Caenorhabditis elegans: one gene and its partner. The protein of the gene in region 2 interacts with the protein of the main gene of each other region in a pairwise test. Each region holds a gene or a part of one and is shown on either strand. Other genes may lie near its edges.

Region 1 (4,693 bases), on a different chromosome or scaffold from region 2:
TTGTGGACAAAATATCAATATGTTGGGATTTTTCACTGAAAATTCGAAAAATTTCAGTGAAAATCGATTTTTCTGTTGAAAAATTCAAAAACTGCGGGATTTTTTCGGTTTTTCATGACAATTGGCCGAAAAATCAGAAAATTTCTCGCGAAAATCGATTTTTCTGATGAAAAATTCAAAAATTGAGGGATTTTTTCGGGTTTTCCATAATAATTGGTCGAAAAATTAAAACTTTTCAGTGAAAATCGATTTTTCCGATGAAAAATTGTGTGAAATTGCCGATTTTCGCTCAAAAATAGCCGGAAAATGCTCAAATTTGCACTGAAAATTCCAATTATCCTCAAATTTGCACTAAAAATTCCAATTTTTCTCAAATTTGCACTAAAAATTCCAATTTTTCTCAAATTTGCACTAAAAATTCCAATTTTTCTCAAATTTGCACTAAAAATTACAATTTTCCTCAAATTTGCACTAAAAATTCAAAATTTCCTCAAATTTGCACTGAAAATTCCAATTTTTCTCAAATTTGCACTGAAAATTTCAATTTTTCTCAAATTTGCACTAAAATTCCAATTTTCCTCAAATTTGCACTGAAAATTCCAATTTTTCTCAAATTTGCACTGAAAATTCCAATTTTTCTCAAATTTGCACTGAAAAACCAAGGCAGACGCCAGGTACGCACTCTCATCGCGATGGCCTGCTTCTGATACTGATCAATTTTCAGGCCGGGCGTCGAAATGGACTCAATCTCAGTCTTAATCTCCTCTTTTGGTGGCTCCCCAGATGCTCCAGCAGACTCCTTTCCAGGTGGATTCATTGGCTGAATGCCAGTCGGTGTATCAGCTAAAACCATAAAATGGCTTGTTGGTGGCGGAGCAACAGGAGCCGGCCGAGCATCCGAATCAACTTGATAATTCAGCAGGCCCCATTGCTCGAGAAACGAGTGAAGCCGCACAATTGAGCACACATCACCGGCCAAATTCCGGCGACAAGCCGTCGCAGACACGTATTCAAATGGATTCAGACGGTACGTGTCGACCATAAAATTACGGTAGGCAACGTAGACGTCCGGTGTCTTGCTCTTATTCTTTCCGTTGAAAAATTCAGGCATTGCGCGTTTCTCGATTTGATGAATTGCGTTATAGTCGAACCAGCCGGCGTATGAGGGGACTACAATGTAGTGGGTCTGCTCAATGACGTTTCCTTCGGCGAGTTGTGGAGCTTCTTTTGTTGATTGGACACCTTCTTCGTCGAGATCAGTGAGCTTTTGGCCTTTTGGTGCGCTGAATTCGGCGTCTTTTTCCTTTCCTGCAAAAGAGAATTGGTTGGAAATTGAGGGGAAATTGGATTAGCAGCGCCCAAAACTTGTAGTTTGTAGTTTAGCAGCGCCCAAAATTGAATTAGCAGCGCCCAAATCTTGTAGTTTGTAGTCTAGCAGCGCCCAAAATTGAATTAGCAGCGCCCAAATCTTGTAGTTTGTAGTTTAGCAGCGCCCAAAATTGGATTAGCAGCGCAAAAAACCTGTAGTTTGTAGTGTTAGCAGCGCCCAAAATTGAATTAGCAGCGCCCAAATCTTGTAGTTTGTAGTTTAGCAGCGCCCAAAATTGGATTAGCAGCGCAAAAAACCTGTAGTTTATAGTGTTAGCAGCGCCCAAAATTGAATTAGCAGCGCCCAAATCTTGTAGTTTGTAGTTTAGCAGCGCCCAAAATTGGATTAGCAGCGCAAAAAACCTGTAGTTTGTAGTGTTAGCAGCGCCCAAAATTGAATTAGCAGCGCCCAAATCTTGTAGTTTGTAGTCTAGCAGCGCCCAAAATCGGTCAGCAGCGCCCAAAATTGAATTAGCAGCGCCCAAAATTGAATTAGCAGCGCCCAAAACTTGTAGTTTGTAGTTTAGCAGCGCCCAAAATTGAATTAGCAGCGCCCAAATCTTGTAGTTTGTAGTTTAGCAGCGCCCAAAATTGTATTAGCAGCGCCCAAATCTTGTAGTTTGTAGTTTAGCAGCGCCCAAAATCGAATTAGCAGCGCCCAAAACTTGTAGTTTGTAGTTTAGCAGCGCCCAAAATTGAATTAGCAGCGCCCAAATCTTGTAGTTTGTAGTTTAGCAGCGCCCAAAATTGTATTAGCAGCGCCCAAATCTTGTAGTTTGTAGTTTAGCAGCGCCCAAAATCGAATTAGCAGCGCCCAAATCTTGTAGTTTGTAGTTTAGCAGCGCCCAAAACTTGTAGTTTGTAGCTTTAGCAGCGCCCAAAAAAATTTTAGGAAGGAAATTTGGAAAAATCTGGTTTTTTTTGGTCCTGAAATGCAATTTTGACCGAAAAATTGGTTTTTTTCTGGAAAAATCAGATAAAAATGCGATTTTTTCAGAAATTTCGAAGAAAATCTGAAGAAAAAGCGCTGAAAAATTCCATTTTTGGCTAAAATTTAAATTTCCGATTTTTTTTCCAAAAAATGAGTAGAAATTTTGAAAATGCGCTCTGGAAATGTTCGAATTTTGACCAATTTTCGCTAAAATTTAGCTTAGCAGCGCCCAAAATTCAAATTTCGGTCTTTTTCGAATGAAACTTGAAAAAAAAAAAGTTCACTTTTGCGTAAAAAATGTGTTGAAAAAAGCATTTTCGAGTGTAAAAAACCAATTTTTTGCGTTTTTCAACTCTCAATTCCGGAAAAAATGGAAAAATTATGCAAATTTCCCAGAAAATCAAAGTTTTCCAGTCAGTTATTGCAAAAACTTGAGCTCTGACGCTGAAATTGCACTTTTTGAGGGTATTCGGGCTGCCCGGAGCCAGATTTTCACGGATTTTGCTCGATTTTTTTCGATTTTGTCGGAGAAAATCACTAAAAAATGCGTTTTTCAGAGCTATTTTTCCGCATTTTCGCCGAAAATTCCACACAGATTTCGCTACCTTTCGGCACTTCAACCTTCACAGCGGCACCACTTCTGCTATCATCGTCGTCGCCGGTCATCGAAACGTCACCGTCATCGTCGTCGCGTCTCCGCTTCGACGCTCCCTTCTTCATTCCACTTTTCGACGAAATTTTGCTGAAATTTAGCGGGGAATTGAAAAGATTTTCAGGGTTTTCAGCGAGGAAAAAGCATATTTATGGGCAGAAAATTGCGAAAAAATCGATTTTTTTCACTGAAGTGAGCAGAAAAACGGCAAAATTTCTAGGAAAAATGTCTGTAAAATCAAGAATTTTAACAGAAAACTGTGGAAACTGCAAAAATCTCGTATTTTCTTGGAATTTCTTTCGAAATTTTCAATGAAATTATGACTAAATAACCTTAAAAAGAGACTTTTAACAAAAAACTGCGAGAAAATTGGTCGAAATTGGTCCAATATCGAAATATCGAGGCCCGCGTAGATTCAAACAAGGCGGCAGTGTGAGGGAGCTCGCGCGTAGTGAGAGACGCCAGAGAAAACAGAGAAAACGAGAGAAATAGTGTGGAGAAACGAGAGAGAGCGCAGAGAAAGGAGGCCTCGTGGAGAGGGAGAGAGAGAACGCGGGATGAACATCTGCTCAGAAAATGGAATACGGGGGGACCTGTAGGACGGTGGGGGAATTATCGATTTTCTTGGGGTAATTGGGATTTTGCAGCGCTAAAATAGAGCGGGAATTGTAGGAAATTTGAAAATTTTCGATTTTTCCAGGGAAAAATCCCGGAAAATTTCCGAAATTTGAAGCATTTTTGAGAAAAATCGAGCTAAAATCTTGTAGTTTGTAGTTAGAATTCAGGAAAGTTGAAGAAAATTTGATTAAAAATTGATTTTAAGCGAAAAAATTCGAATAAATCGAAAAAATTGACAAATTCAAGCATAGCAGCGCCCAAAAAGCTGTAGTTTGTAGTTTTAGCAGCGCCCAAAATCGAATTAGCAGCGCCCAAAACTTGTAGTTTGTAGTTTTAGCAGCGCCTAAAATTTGAATTAGCAGCGCCCAAAACTTGTAGTTTGTAGTTTTAGCAGCGCCTAAAATTGAATTAGCAGCGCCCAAAACTTGTAGTTTGTAGTTTTCGCAGCGCCTATAATTTGAATTAGCAGCGCCCAAAAAGCTGTAGTTTGTAGTTTTAGCAGCGCCTATAATTTGAATTAGCAGCGCCCAAAACTTGTAGTTTGTAGTTTTAGCAGCGCCCAAAAAGCTGTAGTTTGTAGTTATTTTGAACTTTTTTTGATGAAAATTGAGGAAATCGGGCTTTTTTTCCGAAAAATTCGCATTTTTTAGCGATTTCTAGCAAATTTCAGCGAAAAAATGGCAAAAATTACGTAAATTTCAGTAGAAATTCCAGTTTTCGAGCTGAAAAAGAGCAAAAATAGAGCATTGAGGGGGGTATTTAACCACATCAAAAAAGTTGAAAATACAACGGAAAAAACGATAATTAATTTGAAAAATGTCTTGTTTTGTTGTTCAATGAAAAGCGTCACAATGATGATAATGGTGAATAATGAATAAATATAAAAAATACACAAAAAAAAGTACACAATTTAGTGATAAATAGAGCGATAAATCGAGATCAATTCAAAAAATTGGAAAAACGGTTCGGACGATTTTGAACGTATAGAAGCCTAAAATGAGCTCAAATGAACGAATTTTGTAATAAAACTGCTCAAAAATTTTAAATTTTTTAAAAATTGTTTTATGGCGGTTCAAAATTTTGAAAAAATTACACTTATTTTAGCTAAAATCACGAATTTTTCC
Region 2 (5,012 bases):
TTTTTTCAGAAAAAAAATCAGAAAGCTCAAAGTCAGAAAAATTTTCTGAAAATTAATATTGCACTCCCTAATAGTCTTGCACTCCCTATTAGTATTGCAAGCGGGAAGACCATCGAACAATAGTATTGCAGTCATATTAATAGAAGAAATACGGTATACAATTTTCAAAACTTCGAAACGAGGTTTATATTAGGTCTCCAAATAAGTTCCGGGTCAAAAATCATAACTTTGTTCGCTGTGTATCGATTTTTATGAAACTTTGGGAATTTATGTTATCAACCATGTTCTTTCATTTGACAATAGTCGCAAAAATTTTTGTACACCTCAAGTGTCCTAACTCGGAGCCAATTTTTCCAGGAATTTTTCCTATCTCGCTTCTTTTAACCTTTGAATTGAGGTTTGTGTGCGGATTTTGCTTTGCTTAAAATACATTATTAGAAAACGACAAAAGTTTAGAAAAAAATCCGTCCAAAAAATTTTTTTTAAATATATAATAATCGTTTTAGTTTGAAATTTGAATCTCGAGAAATATTCAAAAAACTCAAAAATTATCCGAAAAAATTATATTTTCTATTAACATTTTGGTGTATCGAAATAAATTGATATGTTTTGTATGTGTAAAAATAGTTCACGCTTGTTTACATCATTTTTGTAGGGAAAATCTAGAACTTTCGACAAAATTTTTTTTGAACATTTTTTGACGACCAACCAAAAAAAAATTTTTTGGACGGATTTTTTTCTAAAATTTTGTCGTTTTCTAATAATGTATTTTAAGCAAGGCGAAATCCGCACACAAACCTCAATTCAAAGGTCTTCTTTTAGAAGCGAGATAGGAAAAATGCCTGAAAAAATTGGCTCCGAGTTAGGACACTTGGGGTGGACAAAAAATTTTGTGACTGATGTCAAATGAAAGATCATTGTTGATAACATGAATTCCCAAAGTTTCATAAAAATCGATACACAGAGAACAAAGTTATGATTTTTGACCCGGAACTTATTTGGAGACCTAATAGATTTTTCACTTAAAAAATACATGTAAGAACTGTGATTTGATAAGCAAACACATACACAAATCCGGAACCGGAAGATTTTAAAATTAGTATTCTCTTTTCTATTTCATAAAACTTTTATAGTTTTGTGTTTAATCACGTTATGAAAAAGATCAATGATCTGAACTTCGTCAAATCTGATTTAGGATATATTTTGGTTGTTCAGCTCGGTTTGTCTGATGTAAATTATTTTTGAAAATTCTACTGAAACACCTAACTGATTTTATTTTTTCAGATAACAAAAAAAGCAGAGACAATGCCGTTTCTTCGAGAGTAACACAAAATTAGCAAAACTATTCAATATTGTCACATGCCGTGTCAATGTCTAGGGAATTGTAAAAATGGGTGTGGACTTGCGAACGTTTATATTCATTGTATACGCGTCGCACCAAATCCATCATAAAAATTGGATAGAAAGAATGAAGAACAGGAGGTTGGGTGTCCCCCGTGGTTCTCAGTCCCACACAGAAAGGAAAATGTGCCAGAGCACATTTTCTAATTGGTCAACGAGAAGAAGGGCGATTCGTCGTACTACTAACACAAGTCCAGCTGCTTCTCTGACCCAGGGAGAAAAAAGATGGGGGGAAATGGTAAATCTAGTTAAAACTGGAGTGAAGTGAATAAAATGCGAATAGTCAATAGGGGTCGAGCATTTATAACTGCGAATATGGCATTGAAACCTATTGAATTGGAATAACAAGTTGGAGAAGCGACGTTTTGCCGGGAGGCGGCAAAGCGGGAAAGGGGAGAGGAACTGGATTTATTCCATTTTTTTCTATTCTTCCAAACTTCCTTTCCCAAATAAATTATGCCTAAACCTTTTAAAAGTGTATAATTTTATAAATATTGTAGTTTGTAAAAAATTATGATCTAATTATTCTAGATGAGTAGAGAAGATACACTTGATTGGATAGTCTCCCATATTTGGATCACGCATGCGTTGTCCTCAAACTAGGGACCGGGAGTTGACGGACGAGGGAAGGGAGATGTGACCTCTTGGTTTGTCTGCGTCCCGTCTTCCACTCATGCTCTCTTTCAATCCACCATACCAGCTATTACTATCTCTACTCTCGTTTTCTTCCGCGTCTCGTTTACTTGTGACTTTAGAAGAGGATCTCTCACCCTCCCCACACCCTCTCCGGCATATATCTACAGCGAACGGGAATACGAAGGGAACCGAACACTTGGAGGATTAGAGAACCTAACCGCATAAAGCATTAAGAGCGGTTCTGAATCTGTCATCTACACTCGAAGGGCCTTATTGTGGGCAGACAATTTCGAATGAGATTGTGACAATTCATCGAAAAGTAGAAGGAACGTTAAAAACAATACATAAAACTTAACATACTGTTTTTCATGTTTTAACATGAACTTTTTTTTTTTGAGAAACTGAGAAATTACAAAATATTAGTTTTATAATACTTTACGTATAATTTATTTTACAATTTCGCCTTATTTTCTTTCAAAACTGAGAGCAGCTTCCTTTTTTTGAAAAATAGAAAAACAAAAGCTGATACTTCAGAAACAATCGTAAACTTTATCAGTACTTTTTTAATGAGTTTCAAACAATAATCATTTTTTTAGGAAAACTTTTGAATCAACAAATATTCATTAGTTTCGTCAAGTTAATATTTTTCAAGGCTGAATTTTTCCAAATGGTATGAAATTATACCATTCAATTTTTTTTTTGAAATCCAATGCCAAACTCAAATGTTGAAATTATATTTGTTTTTAGTTGAAAAGTAATTTTCACAATTTTCAAGCGCAAAATGCTTACCACATGTGAAGAGTTCATTGTCATTGATTTCTTTCCCAGTACTATGTGAATGACCCCTGAAAAACATTTTCTTCTTTATTAGTATATGTTGTTCGTAAAATTAAAATAAACAAAATACCATGGCCTTATAGTTTTTGAGAAGAATTATGAAATGAACTGAACTCACATTTTTGTTAAGTCCTACATGGGAGAATGTTTTGATGTTTTCAAAGTTAGAAAAGCCTGAAAATTATGAAGTTTGGCTTGAATTAAAAAAAAGAAATAAAAAGAAAAAATCGAAGAAGACAAAAAAAAAAGAACATGGAGGAAAAAAGAAAGGACGCGCAATTGGTGTGAAGGTATGTGTCGAGTACCCGGCTGCCCTCTCTTTTCTCATAACCCATCCAGTGACCAGCAGAGCGCGCTTGCATACTTCTCACTCGTTGTTCACTGCTTATTACTGCGCACTTGGTTCAACACTAACGCCTATTCGCTAGTCAAACAATAACAACAGTTCCTGTCAGATAAATAGTACTAAGCTAGAGGAGATTGGAAACGCGGAGTAGAGACTACAAATACTTTGAACTGATTGAACTTATATGCATACGAAATGAATGGATAATGTTTAAACTGGATATAATTAGTTTTTAGTTGTTTTACAAAATTGTGGTGATTTAATAATTAAAAAAAAGTTATGCTATTCGGATATTTGTGTATTCGCAAAAACCATAGTTTTAAACCAATTAACAAATTGTCAATTACAAATCTAAAATCTAACAATTATTGACAAGACCATACATATTAATAAACAAAAAAGTTTTGCATTGTAAAACCAATCAAAACTTGTCGCCGTTCCTTTTTCGCTATGTTTTATACAAATCTGCGATACGAATTCGTATCGGTTGAAAGTGTGGGGATGAAGTGTGAAATGAAACAAAAAGTGTGATCACAAAGAATGGGACGAGAGGCCAGGAGGTACTCAAAACCCCCGCCAATTTTGTCCCATAAAAATTGGAGCGACGAAAGAGTATGGGAATGCAGTTTGAAATAGAAAAGTTGAACAATAGGTAGTATTCAGATTGACGCATTTTTTAAATGGAAATCAAAACTAAAAGAATCAAAATTTTGAAGAAACAGTACGGTATGCCTCTGAGGGTTGGTTGAGTGAATTCTAACTCATTAGAAAATTGCTGTCCTACTATTTTGAAAACAATAAAAGGGCTCCTTAGACTAAAATATGCTGAAAAGTACCTATCAAGTTTTAAATAAGTTTAAAAATTTTTGGAGATTTGCATTGTTTCACGGACTATATAATTGTACATGAAGCACTAATTTTAAATTGTGTGTTTAAGAATAATTTGTTAATTGAGAACAAATTCCATACTTGAAACACTCAATAAGAACGCACTCTAATGCATACAATAATTCTTTAAAAAAACTCCCAAGTTTTAATAATTGCTGACGAAGATGTTTTGGAAAACGTGATCTCCAAGTAATGAATGCTTGGCAATTACAAATAACTTTTTGAAATCAAAAGATTATATGTGGTTGTATTTCTCCATAAAAAAGTGGAATTGTGTGTAGGGTTTTCAAAAGATGAAAATAGGTTTGTTGTTATAACATGCATATGTAATATGACTATGAAACTGTGCTATTTTGCTAGTGTTAGTGATTTTGATGGTGACAAAGTGTTCTATTTTCGATAATTTTTTTTATTTTTCGTCTTTTCTCCTCGTTTAATTGTTGGAAATTACACATTTACATATTAAGTCTACTAAAATTCTTTCACATTTACATATTAAGTCTACTAAAATTTCTCCCATCCTATTTTTATTTAAACCAGTCGTTAAAAAAAATAGCTAAAATAAATCCAAATACGAAAAAAAGTTGAAAGTAAACTTTTGTAGAGTTTTTTGCGTGTCGAAGAACTTTGAAAATAGTAAAGTTTTGTGAAATGCGCAGAACAAAAACTGAAACTAAATGGGAACACACAAAAACACAAGAGAAGACGAACATCGACAAAAAAGTTGGTAGTAGCTGCTGGTTGGCGAGGAGAGGATAATATCCCGAACACGCCAATAGAATGAAGAGGGACAAAAAAGAACACAACAAGATGTCGATGCAAAGGACGAATTATTCCTTTTTTCCTTCCATTTTTGCCATTGCGTTCATTCGAAACAACTTCTGGAAAGGAGATTCCTAACAAA

The links.
Region 1: the proteins of abl-1 (region 2) and swsn-1 interact in a two-hybrid assay, tested with the Caenorhabditis elegans proteins (2 studies listed by BioGRID).

What each region holds. Positions count from the first base shown.
Region 1 is NC_003283.11:20,246,442-20,251,134, forward strand, and holds the start of swsn-1 (SWI/SNF complex subunit SMARCC2), read right to left. Parts: upstream 3,042-4,693; 5' UTR 3,020-3,041; coding exon 2,905-3,019; intron 1,309-2,904; coding exon 683-1,308; exon of another isoform or gene 1-682.
Region 2 is NC_003284.9:10,621,153-10,626,164, forward strand, and holds the start of abl-1 (Tyrosine-protein kinase abl-1), read right to left. Parts: upstream 3,038-5,012; 5' UTR 2,995-3,037; coding exon 2,993-2,994; intron 2,883-2,992; coding exon 2,827-2,882; intron 1,556-2,826; exon of another isoform or gene 1,431-1,555; intron 1-1,430. UniProt on the Caenorhabditis elegans protein: Functions downstream of migratory protein mig-13 and is involved in Q neuroblast migration during larval development.